2 linked regions of the Macaca fascicularis genome follow. The protein of the gene in region 1 purifies or fractionates together with the protein of each later gene. This does not show direct contact. Links are inferred from orthologs where the notes say so. Each region holds a gene or a part of one and is shown on either strand. Other genes may lie near its edges.

Region 1 (3,734 bases):
CTCGGATTGCAGGCATGAGCCACTGCACCCAGCTACTCTTTTTTTTTTTTAATCCTTGTGCAGGAGCCTCGCTAATCTTTTGCATGCTGCAGTTTTAGCGTATGTGCTGCTGAAGCGAGCGCTGTCTCATGAATAATTTCAAATATATGTAAAAGCAGATGCAGCTCCCGTCCCCACTTGACTTGAAGCAAATTCCAGATGTGATCTCATCTGTATAGCAATGGGTATCCCTAGAGGATAAGGATTTCAGGGCTCTTTCTGAAGGCCGGGTTTGTAGGGCGGCATGAGTGCCATGTCCTGCCTCTGGATCCTCTCCCTGCTCTGCATGGTCAGGTACCACCTGCCAGGTTTGAGCAATCACTGCAACCAGCCCCTTCCTGCCACCTTATCTGGGCCTCGTCCACCGTGTGCTAGGCCTGCGCATATCCATGCGTGTGCATGTGTGACCCCCACCTCAGGTCCTCTGTGAGCAAAGCCCTGGGCAGGGCCAAGCATTGGGGGTAATGCTCCGCCCCGTTCACAGGGTCTTGGGGGAGGCTGTTCTGCCCTTCCCTCCTGCGCTGGCTGAAGTGACGCTGGGCATTGGTCGTGGCCGCAGGGTCATCCTGCGCAGCTACCATGAGGAGGAGGCAGGTGAGGGAGCTGGACGTGACCTGGGACAGAGCAGAGCGGCAGGTGGGAGAGGGGTGGGGCCCAGGTTCCTCCTATTCTTCCCCAACAGACAGCACTGCCAAAGCCATGGTGTCCGAGATGTGCCTTGGAGAGGAGGATTTCCAGCAGCTGCAGGCCCAGGAAGGGGTGGCCATCACTTTCTGCCTCAAGGAATTCCGGGTGAGGTTCCCCCCACGCACTTGCCGGTCCTGTCCTGCCTGCCCAGCTCAGCCCAACCCGGGGCCTCACCTGCTACCTCTTTCCTCTCAGGGGCTCCTGAGCTTTGCAGAGTCAGCAAACTTGAATCTTAGCATTCATTTTGATGCTCCAGGCAGGTAATTCCCAGCCTTGGGACAGGGAAGGGCTCTGGGATGCCAGGAGCTGAATGGGATGACCTAGCTTGGGACCCCCATCCCCTGCCCAGGCCTGCCATCTTCACCATCAAGGACTCTTTGCTGGATGGCCACTTTGTCTTGGCCACACTCTCAGACACCGACTCGCACTCCCAGGACCTGGGCTCCCCAGAGCGTCACCAGCCAGTGCCTCAGCTCCAGGCTCACAGGTGAGGGCACCTCCCCCAACTCCTCCTCTCCCCATGTCTGTGCACTCCAGCCTGAGACTGCAATTCCTAGCTTCTGCACCTTCCTGCAATGTGTTCTCTCCCGCTTCCCTCCTGTTCCTCCTCTCTCTCCATCAGGCCCCAGTCCCTACCCCTACAGTGCTCACAGCTGCCAGCCCTGCAGACTCAGCCTTCTTGGTCAGCTGTACTGAGACTCCTCCCACCCAGGGAAGCATCCCCAAGGCCCTGCTGGCTTCCTTCTCTGGCTGAGGCCTCCCCTCTGAGCCTCCTCCCAGGCCAAGGAGGGAAAGGGCTGCTGGGAGGCAGAAGCTGCCTGGGCTGGGGGAAGCAGGTGGCTGGAAGAGCAGGTGGGCTGGGGAGGATGGCCCAATGCACTTTCAGCACAGGAAGCTGGGGCTGGCCCCCAGCCCAGCCTGTCCCCGGCCTCCTGTGCTCTCCAGCTCCTGTCCCCTGGGAAGGCGGGGGCTTGGGCCCCATGTGGCCCAGTTCACAGGGCTTGCTGTTCCTCTCCCCTAGCTGAGCTAAAGCAGCCGCCAGGATGCCTTCCTCAGGCCCCTACCTGAATTCTGATCAGACATTCCTGGCCCACCCCTTCCAGGAAGCCACCACTTAACCCCTGCATCCTCTCCTCTCCAGCCAAATCAGGAAGTCATAAAACCAAGAGATCTTCAGTGGTCAGGGGGCCCCGGAGCTCCCTTGGAGCCCTCTACGGTGGGGCCCTGCCTCTGCTCCCCATTTCCTCCCTGATACTCTGATTCTGCCTGCAGCATACCCCACCCAGATGACTTTGCCAATGACGACATTGACTCTTACATGATCGCCATGGAAACCACTATAGGCAATGAGGGCTCGCGGGTGCTGCCCTCCATTTCCCTTTCACCTGGCCCCCAGCACCCCGAGAGCCCCGGTCTCCACTCCGAGGAAGATGAGGCTGAGCCCAGTACAGTACCTGGGACTCCCCCGCCCAAGAAGGTAGGGACTGGAGGTGGAGGCAGGGGCAGGAGGTGGGGAAGGCAGCAGCCTCCAGAACTCACTTGTTCTCTTTGCAGTTCCGCTCACTGTTCTTCGGCTCCATCCTGGCCCCTGTACGCTCCCCCCAGGGCCCCAGCCCTGTGCTGGCTGAAGACAGTGAGGGCGAAGGCTGAACCAAGAACCTGAAGCCTGTACCCAGAGGCCTTGGGCTAGATGAAACCCCAGCCAGTAGAAGAGCTGGGTCTCAGCCCTGGGGATCAGAAAGGTGGGCTTGCCGGAGCTGAGCTGTTTCACTGCCTCTCGCAGGCCCCAGCTGGCTGTCACTGTAAAGCTGTCCCGCAGCAGTCAGGCCTGGGCCCTGTTATCTCCCCACAACCCCCAGCCAATCATGACTTTCCAGACCTGGCCCTGAACTACTGACGTTCCTACCTCTTATTTCCCATTGAGTCTCAGGCTATACTCCAGCTGGCCAAGGCTGGAAACCTGTCTCCCTCAGGCTCACCTTCCTAAGGAAAACATCACAGCAGGTGCTGCCGGCCCCTGATGATCCAGCTTCTCTGCCAATCATGACCTGACCTGTTCCTTCCTGAAGTCCTGGGCATGCATCTGGGACGCCCGTGGAGCTGACAGTTTTTCTTGCTTTCCTGATACTCTTTGGTGCCGACCTGGAATTCTAAGAGCCTCGGACCTGCGTGTGTGGCTAGGGTTGCCCTTGCTGGGGCCTGGTGCCCAGCCTCCCAAGTAGCTCTGCGCAGAGGAGCTGCCAGGCAGCGTCTTAGACGCGAGACGGAGGCCATGGCGAGAATCCAGCTTTGACCTTTATTCAAGAGACCAGATGGGTTGCCCCAGGATCCGGCTGCCAGCCCTGAGGCCAAGCACGGCTGGAGACCCACGACCTGGTCTGCCGTTGCCCTGAGCTGCAGCCTCAGCCCCAGGATCCTGCTCACAGCCACCGCTGATGCAGGCAGGAAGCAGCCCTGGGGGATTGGACGCTGCTATTGATTCATTAAAAAAAAAAAAAAAGAAAAATACACCAAGGCTCCATGTTCCCCGTGACAGGTGGGCCTGAGGGGCCGGGGTGACCCCCCCCCAGCATGGCAGCATGATTTCTGTACAATCCATCCATCATCTGGGGCACAGGCGCGGGGTGCAGGGGCTATTTCTTGGCTTTGGCGGAATTGCGGGGTGGGGTGATGGGCCGGCCCCCAGGGTTCAGGCCACTGAACTGCCCGTACTTCCCCTTGTTCTTGTCGGCGGGCTTGAGGATCTAAAAGAGACAGGGTTGGTCAGGCTCATGGGGCTGAGCCACGGGGCCTAGTAGCTCCTTTCTTCCCCACACTCACCTGGAAGGAGCACATGAGGGTCTCGTCCACGCTCATCATGGCGCCAGCATTGTCAAACTCGCCACAGTAGTTGGGAGCTGAGAAAAGTGTCACCAGCTGCCGCTTGGCAAAGAACTCATAGCCATCTTCTACCACCTGGGTGAGGATCGGAGCAGTCAGTCCCAAGTGCAGGCAAGGCCCTCCCCTTC
Region 2 (4,027 bases), on another chromosome or scaffold:
CTTGAGATCAGGAGTTGGAGACCAGCCTGGCCAGCATGGTAAAACCTCATCTTTACTAAAAATACAAAAATTAGCTGGGCATGGTGGCAGGCACCTGTAATCCCAGCTACTCAGGAGGCCGAGGCGGGAGGCAGAGGTTGCAGTGAGCTGAGATCGCGTCATTGCACTCTAGCCTGGGTGATGAGAGTCAGACTTTGTCTCAAAAAAAAAAAATATATATATATATATATATATATTTTTTATATATACAAAATATCCTGAAATTACCTTGCAATTTATACATTTCATACATTCATGTAAAAATTTGTGTTGAATACCAGTTGCATGGCAGATACTGTTCTAAATGCTGGCTGTCCAGTGGTATACGGAACAAATAAGAACTCCTCTAAGTTACATTATTGTGGTTAGAGCTAGACAGCAAACAAAGAAGTGTAAGTATGTACTATGTCAGGGTGGTGATAATTCCCAGCAAAATTCCAGGAAGATTATTTTTAGACTCTGACAAAATATTTTAGAGTTCCTCTGGAGCAATATCTGTGAGAGAATGAGAGAAGTTCTGAAAGATTGTCCTATTCGATATTGAAATATAATATGGAAATTAAATCACTGGTACAGGTGCAAGATAGGGCAGTGGGAGAAAATATAGAGAGGGCCAGGAAACATTGAGACAAAAATGAGAATTTTTTGTCTAAAATAAAATTGACATTTCAGATTAGTGGAGAAGTGGATTGTTTAGTGAATTGTGTGTATCAGCTAGGTATTCGGTACTGCAAGATTTCAACTGAGTCAAACAACTAAGTCATAAAAACAGATAACATTAAAGTACCAGAAACAGGACTTTGAAAGCATGACCCTAGAAGTAGTAGAGAAGAGGTCAATAGGTTTGACATAAAAAAAGATTCAATATTTCCCAAGAGCAAAGAGTACCAAAAACAGTGTGAAAAGTCACATGATAAACTGGGGAAGATATTTACAGTACATGTAATGGACAGAGGGTTAATGTTCTTTCTAGATATCTTGAAATCAAGAAAAATAAACTCAATAAAAAGATGCGAAGGCCATAAAATGGAATTCACACACAGTGCAAGTTGAATTTTTTTTTTTTTTTTGCCTGCCAGAGTGCCACAGATGAAACAGATTGCTAATATCCAGTGTTGCTGGTGGGCTAGAGTGTTCACGCAGCTTTCTGCAGACCAGTTTGAAAATATTTATTAGGATTTTAAAAGTGCATTCATTGACCAGCACTTCACTTCGGAATTTAACGCAAGGAAATACTTGAGTAAATGGGCAAAACTATTTTGTACAAAAATATTCATTGTGTTCATAATAGCAAAAAATTGGAAATCATCTCAATGCCACTTGTATTCTAACTCTATACATTGGAAAACTGAGCAGCCATGAAAATGATGTAGATTTGTTTCACCAACATGGAGAGATGCCTGTTACATATTTAATGTGTGAAGATGAGGTTGTAAAATGTGTGCCTAGTATGCTATTATTTCGTACGACCCGTGGAACTATATCTTCATGTACGATTGATGAAGATGGTATCAGTGTGTATGCCATAGAGATTAAAAGTGGTTAATTTATCTGAGTGATGACTTTGTCTTCATAGTGGCGAGAATACTGAGGAGTGTCAGCAGTGGAATGCCTGCTCTTCTCATAACCGGAGCGGAAACGGAAGCGTTTTGTGAGAGGGCTGGCGGGCAGGTGAGAACGGCGTTGGCGCGCCCGCCCGGCGTCGGCTCCAGGCCTGGGGCTGCGGAAGCCAGAACAGAGCCCGGAACCCGAGTGCCTGCCCTGCTGGGGCCCGGAGGGAGGGCGGGGAGGGCAGCGCCGGGGACCCCAGCGGACCGGAAGGACTTGTGGCACGCGGCATTCCCCTCAGAGGCCCCGAGTTGCCTTCGCTGTGGCGTCATGAAGTTTCGCGCCAAGATCACCGGCAAGGGCCGTCTAGAGCTGTTCATCCACGTCAGCGGCACCGTCGCCAGGCTGGCGAAGGTCTGCGTGCTCCGCGTGCGCCCTGACAGCCTGTGCTTCGGCCCCGCGGGCTTCCGCGGCCTCCGTGAGGCCGGGCTGTGGTGCGAGGCCGGGCTGTGGTGCGAGGTGCGGCGGGGAGCCTTCCAGCAGTTTCACATGGAAGGTGTCTCGGAAGAGCTCGATGAGATCCACCTGGAGCTGACGGCGGAGCACCTGTCCAGGGCGGCGAGAAGCGCGGCGGGCGCGTCCTCCCTGAAGCTGCAGCTGACCCACAGGCGCCGCCCCTGCCTCACGGTGGCGGTGGCGCTGGCCTCGCCCCTGGGCCGCGCTCGCAGCGTGGTGCACGATCTGCCCGTGCAGGTGCTTCCCCGGAGAGCGTGGCGAGACTGCCCGCCGCCCAGCCTGCGCGCCGCCGACGCGAGCATCCACCTGCCGCGCTGGAGGACGCTGAGGAGCATCGTGGAGAGGATGGCGAACGTGGGCGATCACGTGCTGGTGGAAGCAAACCTCAGGGGCAGGATGACCCTGAGTATGGAGACGGAGGTGGTGTCCATTAAAAGTTACTTTAAAAATCTTGGAAACCCTCCGGAGTCGGCTGGTGTGCCTCCACACAGAGACCTGGAGAGCGTGGTGCAAGTGCGGGTAGATAATCGGAAGCTCCTGCAGTTTTTGGAGGGACAGCAAATAAATCCCACGATGGCCTTATGCAATATTTGGGACAATAGTCTTCTTCAGCTTGTTTTGGTTCAAGGAGATGTCTCTCTCCAGTATTTCATTCCTGCTTTGTAAAAATTCAGCCAGCGTAGATTTGTTTTTTTTAAGCTTATGATCTTTTCAAAACTGAAACAGACCCTGAGTTAATTGGGTTGAAAGTTTGCACCTTCTCTGACTTATACAGGGCGTATATTTTGTGGAGCCCTTCCTCCTTTGCAAAATTTGTATTAAAGCATTGATAAAACAGTTGGGTAGTTTATGTTTTTGTTTGTTGGGTTTGTCAGGTTTTTTTTCCTGCTTAAGATTCTAACAAGTAAATTATTCTTCAACTTTTTTTCGGGGGGAAAAACAGGGTTGTAATGAAATAAATATTTTTGAATCCTGAAACAATTGCATCAGTATTTTATTATAAAATGCTGCTGTGTAAAGCAGGAAAGTTCTCATTTTAAAATATGCATAAATGTTTTCCGAGGGTATTTCTTATGTAGAGAGCTGAATATATCTGCAAGATGAAAGGTATTTAGCGTGTGTGCGCATTACATATTCTTTGTTAAGCTGTGTTTTGTCATAGGATATATCAAAGAATGTATCAGTATACATGGTTTTGAGATTTATTATCTACATAGTTTGAATTGCTTATTTATTAGATTCATTTTTCACAATTTTTCACATGTATCATACTCACATTAGGAATCAAGGAAATATAGGCATATCTCAGAGATATTCCAAGTTTGGTTCCACACCACTGCAAAAAGCAAATATTGCAATAAAGACAGATGAGTTTTTGGATTTTCAGTACATATAAACCTTATGTTTGCATTACACTGTAGTCTGTTGAGAGTACAATAGTACTATGTCTAAAAAAGTACACATCTTAATTTTAAAATACTTCATTGGTAAAAAATGCTACTCATCATCTGAGCCCTCAGCAAGTCATAATCTTTTTGCTGGTGGGAGGCCTTTATCTCCCTCTTGATAGCTGCTGACCGATTCTAGTGGTGGTTGTTGGAAGGCTCAGGTAGCTGTGGCAGTTTCTTAAAATAAGGTAGTGAACTTGCTGGATCGATTGACTTTTGTGAAAGATTTCTCTTTATCATGGGATGCTTTGGGTATTTTGTCCACAGTAGAACTTCTCTCAAAACAGTCAGTCCTCTCAAACCCTGCTACTGGTTTATCAACCAAGTTTATACACTGTACTAAATCTTTAGTTGTTATTTCAACAGTATTCACAGCATCTTCACCAGGAGTAGATTCCATCTCAAAAAAATCACTTTCTTTGCTTATCTATAAGAAGCAACTCTTCATCTGTTTGTTTTATCTTAAGAGTGTAGCA

What was found.
Region 2: the proteins of RAD9A (region 1) and HUS1B purify together in Homo sapiens (co-immunoprecipitation; 3 studies listed by BioGRID and IntAct, counting the BioPlex papers as one, with this or other methods). This does not show direct contact. The link is inferred for Macaca fascicularis from reciprocal best matches to the Homo sapiens genes RAD9A and HUS1B.

Annotation. Positions count from the first base shown.
Region 1 is NC_088388.1:6,978,799-6,982,532, reverse strand, and holds the end of RAD9A (cell cycle checkpoint control protein RAD9A), read left to right. Parts: intron 1-523; coding exon 524-633; intron 634-721; coding exon 722-986; intron 987-1,075; coding exon 1,076-1,213; intron 1,214-1,348; exon of another isoform or gene 1,349-1,998; coding exon 1,999-2,203; intron 2,204-2,280; coding exon 2,281-2,376; 3' UTR 2,377-3,234; downstream 3,235-3,734. Other genes in the region: PPP1CA (serine/threonine-protein phosphatase PP1-alpha catalytic subunit), read right to left, coding at 3,360-3,470, 3,547-3,681. UniProt on the Homo sapiens protein: Component of the 9-1-1 cell-cycle checkpoint response complex that plays a major role in DNA repair. The 9-1-1 complex is recruited to DNA lesion upon damage by the RAD17-replication factor C (RFC) clamp loader complex.
Region 2 is NC_088378.1:172,425,582-172,429,608, forward strand, and holds HUS1B (checkpoint protein HUS1B), read left to right. Parts: upstream 1-1,717; 5' UTR 1,718-1,917; coding exon 1,918-2,769; 3' UTR 2,770-3,081; downstream 3,082-4,027.